2 linked regions of the Caenorhabditis elegans genome follow. The protein of the gene in region 1 interacts with the protein of each later gene in a pairwise test. Each region holds a gene or a part of one and is shown in the gene's direction. Other genes may lie near its edges.

Region 1 (5,258 bases):
TCAGTTTTTCTGTTTTTTTCCACTCAACCTTCACTTTTTCAGGCCGGCCAACAACAGGTCATCCGCACTGTCATCCGATCACAGTGACGTCATCATAATTGATTGTTTTTCTGTATTTTCGAACCCTCCTCCAATTTATTGATTTTTTCTTTTGGTTTTTTTTTTTCAAAATTTTTGAGTAAAAAATCAGTATTTGTGTAAAAGTATTTTTTTTTCGAAAAATTTCAATTTCCATAATTTTTTTTTGATTTTTTGATTTATGCGTATGTGTCCTTAACATAAATGAAGGTCTTCATGCAAATATGAATTAGCTACTAATTGAGCATTTTTCTGATTTTGTGCCAAAAAGCTGAGAAAAAAAGAGTTTCCGCCAAGTTAGGCGGCGGAGCAGCGGATATTCGATCATACGGCGGGCTCTTTTTTGCTCATTTTTCACTTTTTGTGGAAAAATACGGAGAGGTGAGTTTTCGGGCTTCTAATTGAAAAAATTGAAAAAAAAACATTTTTGAAAATAAAAAAAAATTTCGAAAATTTTTTTTTTCCATTTTTTTTCCAAATTTTTTTTTCAAAACCTTATCCAAATAATATTTACATCATTTTCAGCTAATCCTCTCGCACTTTTCACTTCAAAAAAAATGCTCATTGAGCCCTGCAAAATGTTGTTTTTCTCCCCCCCCCCCCCCCCCCACTTTCCTCTCAATTTTCTCGTTATTTTTCAGTTTTTCATTGTTTTTTTGCTCCGTTGAGCACACTTTTTTCTTTTTCTTTTTTTTATCTCTGAGTGTCTATTTATGGCACATTTTTCATTTTGAGAAAAAAAACGAAAAAAAAACTTTCGAAGCTCACACTCTCTCGGCATTTATTGCCTCTTTTTTAGGGGCTTCCGGTGAGTTTTTTTTGAGAAGAAGCTTTCAATTCAAATTTATTGATTTGAATGTGCTCATTGTGCATAGAAATCAAATTTTTTTGTTAGTTAGTTTAAATAAGAAAAAACTTTTTTTTGAATTTTTAAAAAATCGAGAAAATTTTTTTTTTCAAATTTTTTTGTGAAATGTTAAAATTATTTTTTCAAAACGTTTACTCAATTTTTAATAATTTTTTCGCTCTAAAAAATATGTGCTTTTTCAAAAAAATTGCATTATTCTTTTGCGGGAAATTTGAATTTTCAATTAATTTTTGGCTGTAAATTCACAATTTTTTTTTTACAAAATTTCTGTCAATTTTTGGAAAGAAAATCCAAATTTTCAGTCAATTTTTGGCGGGAAATTTAAATTTTCTGCCAATTTTTAACAGAAAATTGAAATTTTCAGTTACTTTCCTTTGTCAATGTTATGCCCTTTTTGTCATTTATGAAGCCATAATTTACGAAAAAAATTAAAAAATTTTTTTGTTGTAAAAATGCCCATATTTAACCCCCTGTTAACCCTCTACATTTTTCCCATCAAATTTCCCTTCAAATTGATCTTTTCCCCGTTCAGATGACGTCATCAACCTTTAAAGATTCTCTCATTTCTCTGCCCAACTCTCTCATTTTCTAATACTATTTCTTAAAAATCTTATCAAATTTTGGATGTCTTTTCTTATCAGAAAAAGAAAACTTTTGAAAGTTGAAAATAAATTAATGATTGATAACTGGAATTGGTGTTCTTTGGTGATTCGGGCTTTGGAACTTTTTGGAATTTTTTTTTGAAAATTTCAGAGAAAAAATTTAAAAAAAAAAAAGCTATATCCTTTTTTTGAAAAAATGTTAACGAAAAAAAAAAATGAAAATTTTTTTCGTGAATTTTAAACTTAAAAGTTGTACTATTTTTTCAATATAAATTATGTAATTTTCAAATTTTTGCCAATAAGTGGGCGGAGCCTCAGTGACGTCACACCTCACTTATCTAGAACTAGTTGCTGGAAAAGCAGCTGAAATCCTTCTGATTCGATTTGTATGTGCAAAAAAATAATCCCCCGACTTTATACATTTTCTCAAGTATTTTCGCGTTTAATTTATAGCTGTTAAGCCCCCTGACTGACTCCGCCCACTTTTTGGATTTATTCGAAATTAAAAAAAAATATTTCTGAAAATTTTCCAACTGAAAATGCGACCTTCCAGAAGCCATCACTTCCAATTTTTACTGAAATCAGAGACTTTTAGCCGGAAAGTGAGTTTATTTTCTGAAAATTTTGAAAAAACATTCATAAACTTCAAAATGACGTCACTCTACCGATTTTTTATATTTTTCAAAATTAAAAAACAATTTTCGAGCAGAAAATTTCAACCAACATTTGCTATAAATTTCATAAAATATATCTCTAAAAACTACAAAACTACGAGTGTTTTCGTAGCGGAACCCAAATCTTCCAAATTTTTTTAAAATTTTTTTCGAAAAATTCCTAAATTCAAAATGACGTGACTCCGCCCATTTTTGAGATTTTTCAAATTTTTTAAATTTCAATATGAGCTTGAAATTTCAGCCAACAAATGCTATGAATTTCATAAAAACAACCTCCAAAAACTACAGTACCATGGGCGTTTTCGTGGTGGGACCCAAAATTTCCAAAAAAAAATTTTTTTCTGGAAAATGTTATCAAACTTCCAGAGCACGTCGCTCCGCCTATTTTTGAGATTTTTTGAAATTGTGTGATTTTTATGAGCAGAAAAAAAAACAAATTTCATAACAACGCTCCAAAAACTACAATACGACGAACGTTTTCGTGGCGGGACCCAAAATTTCGAAAAAAAAAGTTTTTATGGAAAACAATCTCAAATTTTAAAATGACGTCACTTTACCAATATTTGAGTTTTTTTTTGAATTTTTCAATTCAATATGAGCTTAAAATTTTACAAAAGTATCCCAAAAAATTTCACGAGTGTATCTTCAATTTCTACAGTACCCCAGAACTTTTCGCGGCGGGACCCAAAAATTAAATTTTTTTTGAAAAAAATTTGAAATTCTTCAGTTTTAAAATGACGTCACTCTACCGATACTTGAGTTTTTTTTTTCGAAATTTTTCCACGCGTTTTTATAAACGTCTTTATTATCTACAGTATCCCAGAACTTTTCGCGGCGGGACCCAAAACTAAATTTTTTCGAAGAAATATTCTCAAATGTTGAAAATGACGTCACTTTACCAATTTTTGAAATTTTTTGATTTTTTTTGATTCAATATGAGCTTGAAATTTCACACAACCCCAAAGTTAAAAAAAAAATTTTTTTGCAGATGCCAAATTGCTCCTGTACAATCCGTTGCGAGTGTCGGATCACCAATTTGACCGGCGAAACTCTTGAGGCGGCTCCGGAGTATTTGAAAAAAAAGTGAGAAGAAGCCGGCTATGCAAAATTCAATCTTTTTCAAAAATTTTCAGCGCAATCCGATGGAGCTCCGCGGCTCAGATATACGAGGAGCTCAAAAATCCCGGCCATTTTCAGCTTTGTCACGTCGAAAAACGATACAAGAAAAATAAATCCAAAAGTCGTGAGTTTATCAAGAAAAACAGAAAATTCAAATTTTTCAGTCGGACTGCAATTTTTGACGCTAAACTCAATTTTGTGTTTTTTAGCCCAAATTTTTTTTGCAAAAACATGAGATTTTTGGGTAGTTTTCTTGGAAAAATGATGATAAATTTTCAGAATACCACTCCCCGGAGCGATCCCCTGCGGGGACACCTCACCATCACCGCCGCCTATCACATAATCACTTGGCGTACGGTGGAAGTATGTCGGAATTGAATTGTACACAGAGGTTTGTGAAGAGGAATTTTTTTTTTTTTGGAATTAGAAAATTGCTAAGTTTAAAATTTGTGAGTTTTTCAAAAAATAAAAAATTTTTGGACTAAATTTTTGGACTAAATTTTTTTTGATTTTTTTCAAAATTTTCCCCAAAAACTCGCAATTTGCCTTAAAATTTTTGAGTACTAAAGTACGCGTTTATTTAATTGCTCTTTTTTGCAAACTGCAGAGTACCGTTCCCCTTAAAGTAAATATTGAAAAAAAGAGTTAGGTTCATTTTTTTTGCCCCCAAAAATCACATGATTTACACAGTGAAACGTGAGATTTCCGTCATTTTTTCTTTCTGCTGTTCAAGTAATTAGAGATTAGTTTCGTTAAGTTCACCGAGCATTTTGACTCATTGGCTCAATTTTTCCAGCTGGCTTCACCTATTTTTGGGGATTAGGAATCTGATTGAAAATTATTATTGTGCGAAAATTGCCAACAAATTGCCAGAAAGTCGTCAAAAAATTGCCAAAATGTTGTTGATAGATTCCAAAAAAAAAACCACAAAGTTGACAAAAGTTGCCAAAAAGTTGTCAAGAAGTTGTCAAAATTCGCGAGAAAGTCACCAAAAAATTTACAAAAACTGACGAAATGTTGGCAAAGAATTGTCAAAAAGATGGCAGAAAGTCGCCAAAAATTGGCAAGAATTGTCGAAAAACTGCCGGAAAGCTTTGAAGTTTGTCAGGAAGCTACCGAAACTTTTGGCGACTTTCGCCAGACATTTGCCAGTTTTTGCCGGTTTTTTCCAGCTTTTTGTCAATTTTCGTTCAACTTTCCCCTATCCTTTGCAAACTAAATTTTAATTTTTTTTTTGACTTTTGTTTGGCTTTGCTAATTTAATTTTTTTTTTGACTTTTGTTTGGCTTTGCTAATTTTGTGCCTATTTTTTTGCCAACTTTCTTCTAACTTACCCAAATTAGCTCCAAACACCTGATAACTGTGTCTTATAGGTGTTTGCCAACTTTTTCATTTTATTTGTACCCCTATGCGTCACAAAAACACATCTGTCGTACTTTTCTGATTCCAAAAATAGCAAATTTTCAGTCAAAAGTCCTACAAAATAAAGGAATGACGTGTGATAATTGTTTTCCATGCCATTTCCATCAGTGTCTAATAGGAAAAAGAATACAAAATGAGCAGAGCCCCCTGAAATAATTGAGTTCCAGCTTTTTGGGAATGTGCTCCACAAAAAGTTTTTGTGCTCATTGTGCTCATTTTGTGTCAGTGCACACGAAAAAGTCTGTGATTTATAGGAATTTTCTGAGCATTTTTCGAGTTTTGGAGAGTGTTCAACAAGTTTTGCCAAATTTTTGGCAATTTTTTGCTAACTTGCTTTAAGTTTTGGCAATTTTTGCCAAATTTTGCCAATTTTACTCCAAAGATAGATAAGTTTATTGCAAGTTACGGAGACCTTTTCGCAAAATTTGACAAGCTTTAAATTTTTCATAATTTTAACATTTTTGGCAACATTCTGGCAACATTTGTCATCTTTAC
Region 2 (5,013 bases), on another chromosome or scaffold:
ATTGAGCAAGAGAACTCTGGAATTCGCAGCGGCTGCGTATTCCATCGATCCGGAACCTTGCATCTCGAAAAACAATGCGACTTTATTGTTTTTCAAAAAGGTGGAGTGCGATTATATGCGTGACGAGGTAAAAGATCATGAGATCTTTAAATATTCAAAAATCATCTGATTTAATTTTTTCCAGTGCTGGAGTGTGATTGCTGCCGACAACGACACAATATTCGTCAGTTTCAGTGGAACAAAATCGAAAGAGCAGCTGGTAACTGAACTTATCGAAAGCATTGGTCGGCCAAAGCACAAAGTAGGCTCATGTTTCAAGTGTTTGTCTGAGTACTCACAGAGCAAAGAAAACTTATTTTACAGTTGCACAATGCTGGATCAGTTCATTATTACTTCTACTCTGCTCTAAAAACAATGTGGTCACCAATGGAAAAACTACTGCGAGGACTGAAAGACTCACTTCCAGATCATAAAATTGTGTTCACAGGACACTCATTGGGCGGAGCTATTGCAAGTATTGCATCGACTGTTTTCGTTAGAAACTTTCCCGAAACGTCGAGTCGAACCTTTTCAATCACATTCGGACAGCCTAGAGTTGGAAATCTCGAATATGCCATGACACATGACAAATTAGTTGCTGGAGGAAGCTGGAGACTGATTCATGGAAGAGATATTGTGAGGGAGACTAATATTTAAGATTTTTTTAATGCTTTATTAGGCTCAAAATGCACCCAAATGAGCGAATTTCGTAATGAAACTTCTCAAACAAGTTCGAAATTTTTTTCTGGCGGTTCAAAATATCCTCTTTCAAAAGACTATTAAAAGTTTTTTTTCTAGGTTGCACATATTCCGTTCTGCGTGGAAAGCTATGCCAGATGGTGTATACCATTCTACAATCATGGATCCTATCACCATGGAGTCGAAGTCTGGTTTCCTGGAAACATGACAAGTCAAGATACGTTCAAAGTTTGCACCGGGACTCCATTGAACGAGGACAATTTGTGCAGGCAAGTGACAGTGATCGAAATCACGTGATAAGAAAATCTTCTCTTACAGCAACACTCATCGCTACTTTGACATCAACGATCACCTGTTCTACTTTGGACACCACGTCTCAGATTACGGTGTTAATGGATGTGTAGACCCACCGGATGATGAACCATTAATAAATAATGAAAATGTTTAAATAAATTTAAAAATGTTGATTGAATTGCGATTCTTTTTCTCGTCGTTTCAACTGTTGAAAAGTCGGTTTGAGAGAATATTCTCGCTTCCGTGTGTCACGTATATTTTCTCAGGACTTTCTTTTTATTGGAGAGAGAGAGGAGGCGCCAAAGAAGATAAGACACCCGCGAACTCGAGTGTAAGAAGAAACAAGGGAGGAGAAGAGAGAAAGAAAGGGATGGTTGAACACAGAAAATGAATTGTTGGTTATTTTTCTTTTCGTTTTCGGTTTCCTACTTTATTGTTATGGAAGATTGTGTCTACTTTCTTCCCATTCATAACACGAACCTTCTTTCTTTCTTTCTCTCTATCATTGCCTGTTTTTCTTTCTCTCCGGCGCAATAATATTATTATTGATTTCTTAATATTTGATTAAAATGATAAGCCTTTGTCTTCGGAATCATTTTGATAAGAGACGATATCATTTCGGCTAGAAATGTTGCAGGAGAACGAGATGCCTGGGCCAGCCGGCGTACCGCAGCGCAAAATGACGTATTTCGTGCCGAAGAGTGGTCAGTTTACTTTAAAAGAGGACTTACCATTTTTTTTTGCTCTTTTAGACTCGAAATGTGCCCAAATGAGCGAAATTTAAAAAGATAGTTTATTTCACATAATTTCAATTAAAATTGATTTCCGTCCGTTTCGACATGGAAAATTTGGCAAAATTGAAGATTTTAGCTAAAATCAAATAGCCCATTTTTTTTCGAAATTTTGAGCCGTTTTGGACGCATTTTGAGTTGAAAAAGTGCATAAAATTGATCGATTAGCCCTATTTTATTTTCATTCCACATTGTCTTCTCAAAAATCTCAATTTTCAGACAACTCAAACGAGCAGGTTCGAGTTCCAAACGTCATCGCACTTGTCGGACTGCCGGCACGTGGCAAAACATACATCTCACACAAACTGTGTCGTTACCTCAACTGGATTGGAATTAAGACCAAAGGTTGGTCCTGATTCGATTATATGTACGACATGAAACAAAAAATCAAAATTACAGCATTCAATGTCGGCGAGTACAGAAGAAGAGCGTGTAATTTGGAAGAAGAAGGCGAAAATGAGTTCTTCTCGCCAAACAACGCCAGAGGTCAAAAGATCCGAGAGTGAGATTTTACGAAACTATGAAGAAAAAAAATTAAAAAAATTCCTGAATTTTCAGTGAGTGCGCGAAATTAGCCATTGAAGATATGGGAAGGTACTTGGATAACAAGGAAGGAGAAGTGGCGGTGAGTTACAAAGGAAAAAATTTCAAAAAAATATATAGACATAAACTTTTTATTCAGATTCTCGACGCGACAAATACTACAAGAGACCGACGAAAGCTTCTGATGGAGTTTTGCAGAAATATGATGCACGAGCCACCATTCCGTGTCTTCTTTGTGGAATCTGTTTGTGATGATCCTGATATTATCAACTCGAATATCACGGTAACCTTTAGATCTTCAAAATAATCACCTTAACCCGCATATTTTCAGGAAGTGAAAATCAATTCGCCAGATTATAAAGGAATAATGTCTCAAGAGGAAGCAAAAGAAGACTTTTTGAAGCGTATCGAGAACTATCGAATGCAATATGAGCCACTTGATGAGGATCATGATGAAGAGCTGAGCTATATCAAAGTTATCAATGCCGGAAAATCCTTCTATGTTCACAATGTTAATGGTCATGTGCAGAGTCGTGTTGTGTATTTCCTGATGAATATTCATCTTCTTCCAAGAAGTATTTATTTGTCAAGAGTAAGTTTAACAAAAAAACCGAAAAAATTTTGCGCTAAAAATAGGTAACAGGTCTCGACGCGAAAATTTTTATTAAATGCCAAAAAGTGTGCGTCTTTACAAACTACTGTAGTTTCATTTTTTTTGCTGCCGAGTTTTCATTGAGTTTCAGTTTTCTCACGATTTGCTGTAAAAACGTTTTTATTTTTTATTTCACTTTTTGATAAATTAATATTTTTTTACCAAACAAGCTAAGAGAGCCCGTAAAAAAACTTGAATTTTAACAAATCGTGAAAAAAAAAGAAAATCAATGAAAATTCCGCAGCAACGAGAGTTTGAAATTACAGTATTCTTTAAAGGTGATGCCTTTTTTCATTTAACAAAAATGTCGTGTCAAGACCGGACACCGGTTTTTTTGGCACAAAATTCCGTTTCTGGGATATAATTCATTCAATTAACAGCACTGAGAATTATCAAGTATTTTTAAACTTTTATAGTTTAAAAATCCCTTTAAAAAATTTATTACAGCATGGAGAAAGTGAGTACAACAGAATTGGTCGTCTTGGTGGTGATTCCCCACTCAGTGAAAATGGTTTAAATTACGCTGGAAAACTTCGCGAATACTTCGAAAAAGAAGATTTGGACGATTTCCGTGTTTGGTCATCTCAAAAGATTCGTGCCGCCCAGACAGCTTCTCATCTGAAAGATCTCGCTGGTCATACAGAGTTCTGGAAATGTCTTGATGAAATCGATGCCGGAATATGTGAAGGATTAACTTATGAAGATTTCGAGGCTCGTTATCCGAAACAATTCGCTGAAAGAGATAAGGATAAATATCACTACCGTTATCCAAGTGGGGAATCATATGAAGATCTGGTTGCTCGTCTGGAGCCAGTTATCATGGAGCTTGAGAGACAATCCAATGTCCTTGTCATTTCTCATCAAGCAGTTCTCCGTTGCATTCTTGCCTATTTTACTAACAAAAATCGAGATGATCTTCCATATCTGAAGGTTCCATTGCATACAGTCATCAAGCTCACACCAAAAGCCTATTCCTGTGAGATTGAACTTTTCAAATTCGACATCGAAGCAGTCAATACTTACAGAGAGAAGCCACAATAGGAAGTATTTATTCTTTATCTAGCCAATTATCTATGCCAAATGTACATTTATTTTTTCATACAAGTTCCCATTTTTATGTCGGGCGTTTTTTTTGAGATTGCATTTTCCCTGTTTTTGAACAATTGCCTTTGAATTTAAATACGTTGTCGTTTATGTGAGAGTTATAAAGATTACATCGATTTCAATTTTATGGACTGATTGCAATATTTCTCGCTGTGTCATTTTCTACAATAATCTATTTTTAATGTATTAAACGGTCAGGAGCCACATTAAAAATTTAAAAGAAAACCAAACAAGAACGCGTAACTGAGTTGTTGTTATTTTAAAAGAAAAATCAATTCATATAAAAATTAATCCTTAAAGGCGCAGAGATTTATTCAGATGGGTCCCGACGCGCAAAAAAGTTTATGGTAATTGTGTTTGAATTTTTGCGGCTGCTTCCTCGTTTATTTTTCTTGCATTTTTCAATTTATTAAGGGAATTTTGTCGTTGTTTAAAACCATTGTATGAAAAAAACACAGGAAATCCCACATTTTTAATGGAAGTAGTTTATTTGTACTTTGAAAACTGATTTTAAACATATTCTGACAGAAAAGTGAAAAGAAAACGACATCTGAATAAATCCATGCGGTTTTAAAAAGGATTGCCAAAATATTGTGAAGTTACGATAAAAACAAAGCTGAAGCAAGTTGTATTTATTTTCTGCACATACCTGCGTCTCTTAGTGGCCTTCTTCTCTCTCTCTCTCTCTCTTTCCCAATAATCGTTCCACTATTCGGCTTTCAAACATTCTCATACACTTTCAAAAATCAATTTACAGGAAAATTGATCGAAATGTCAATATCAATGGATGACAGAGGGAACAATAGTGGAGAAGTTGGAGAATGTGAGTCATCACGAACTATTTCGTTATGAAATTTCGTTATTTGAATTCAATTTATTTTATCATTTCAG

The links.
Region 2: the proteins of Y43F8B.2 (region 1) and pfkb-1.1 interact in a two-hybrid assay, tested with the Caenorhabditis elegans proteins (one large-scale study listed by BioGRID).

Annotation. Positions count from the first base shown.
Region 1 is NC_003283.11:19,529,940-19,535,197, reverse strand, and holds the start of Y43F8B.2 (GSKIP domain-containing protein), read left to right. Parts: upstream 1-2,087; coding exon 2,088-2,150; intron 2,151-3,210; coding exon 3,211-3,305; intron 3,306-3,355; coding exon 3,356-3,465; intron 3,466-3,620; coding exon 3,621-3,732; intron 3,733-5,258. Other genes in the region: Y43F8B.1 (Prion-like-(Q/N-rich)-domain-bearing protein), read left to right, coding at 43-87.
Region 2 is NC_003279.8:5,129,862-5,134,874, forward strand, and holds pfkb-1.1 (6-phosphofructo-2-kinase domain-containing protein), read left to right. Parts: upstream 1-1,658; 5' UTR 1,659-1,660; coding exon of another isoform or gene 1,661-1,678; coding exon 1,679-1,736; intron 1,737-2,042; coding exon 2,043-2,168; intron 2,169-2,222; coding exon 2,223-2,325; intron 2,326-2,381; coding exon 2,382-2,448; intron 2,449-2,505; coding exon 2,506-2,649; intron 2,650-2,697; coding exon 2,698-2,958; intron 2,959-3,465; coding exon 3,466-4,059; 3' UTR 4,060-4,244; downstream 4,245-5,013. Other genes in the region: Y110A7A.7 (Fungal lipase-type domain-containing protein), read left to right, coding at 1-127, 185-301, 364-675, 838-1,007, 1,057-1,186; Phosphatidylinositol-3,5-bisphosphate 3-phosphatase mtm-1, read left to right, coding at 4,906-4,945.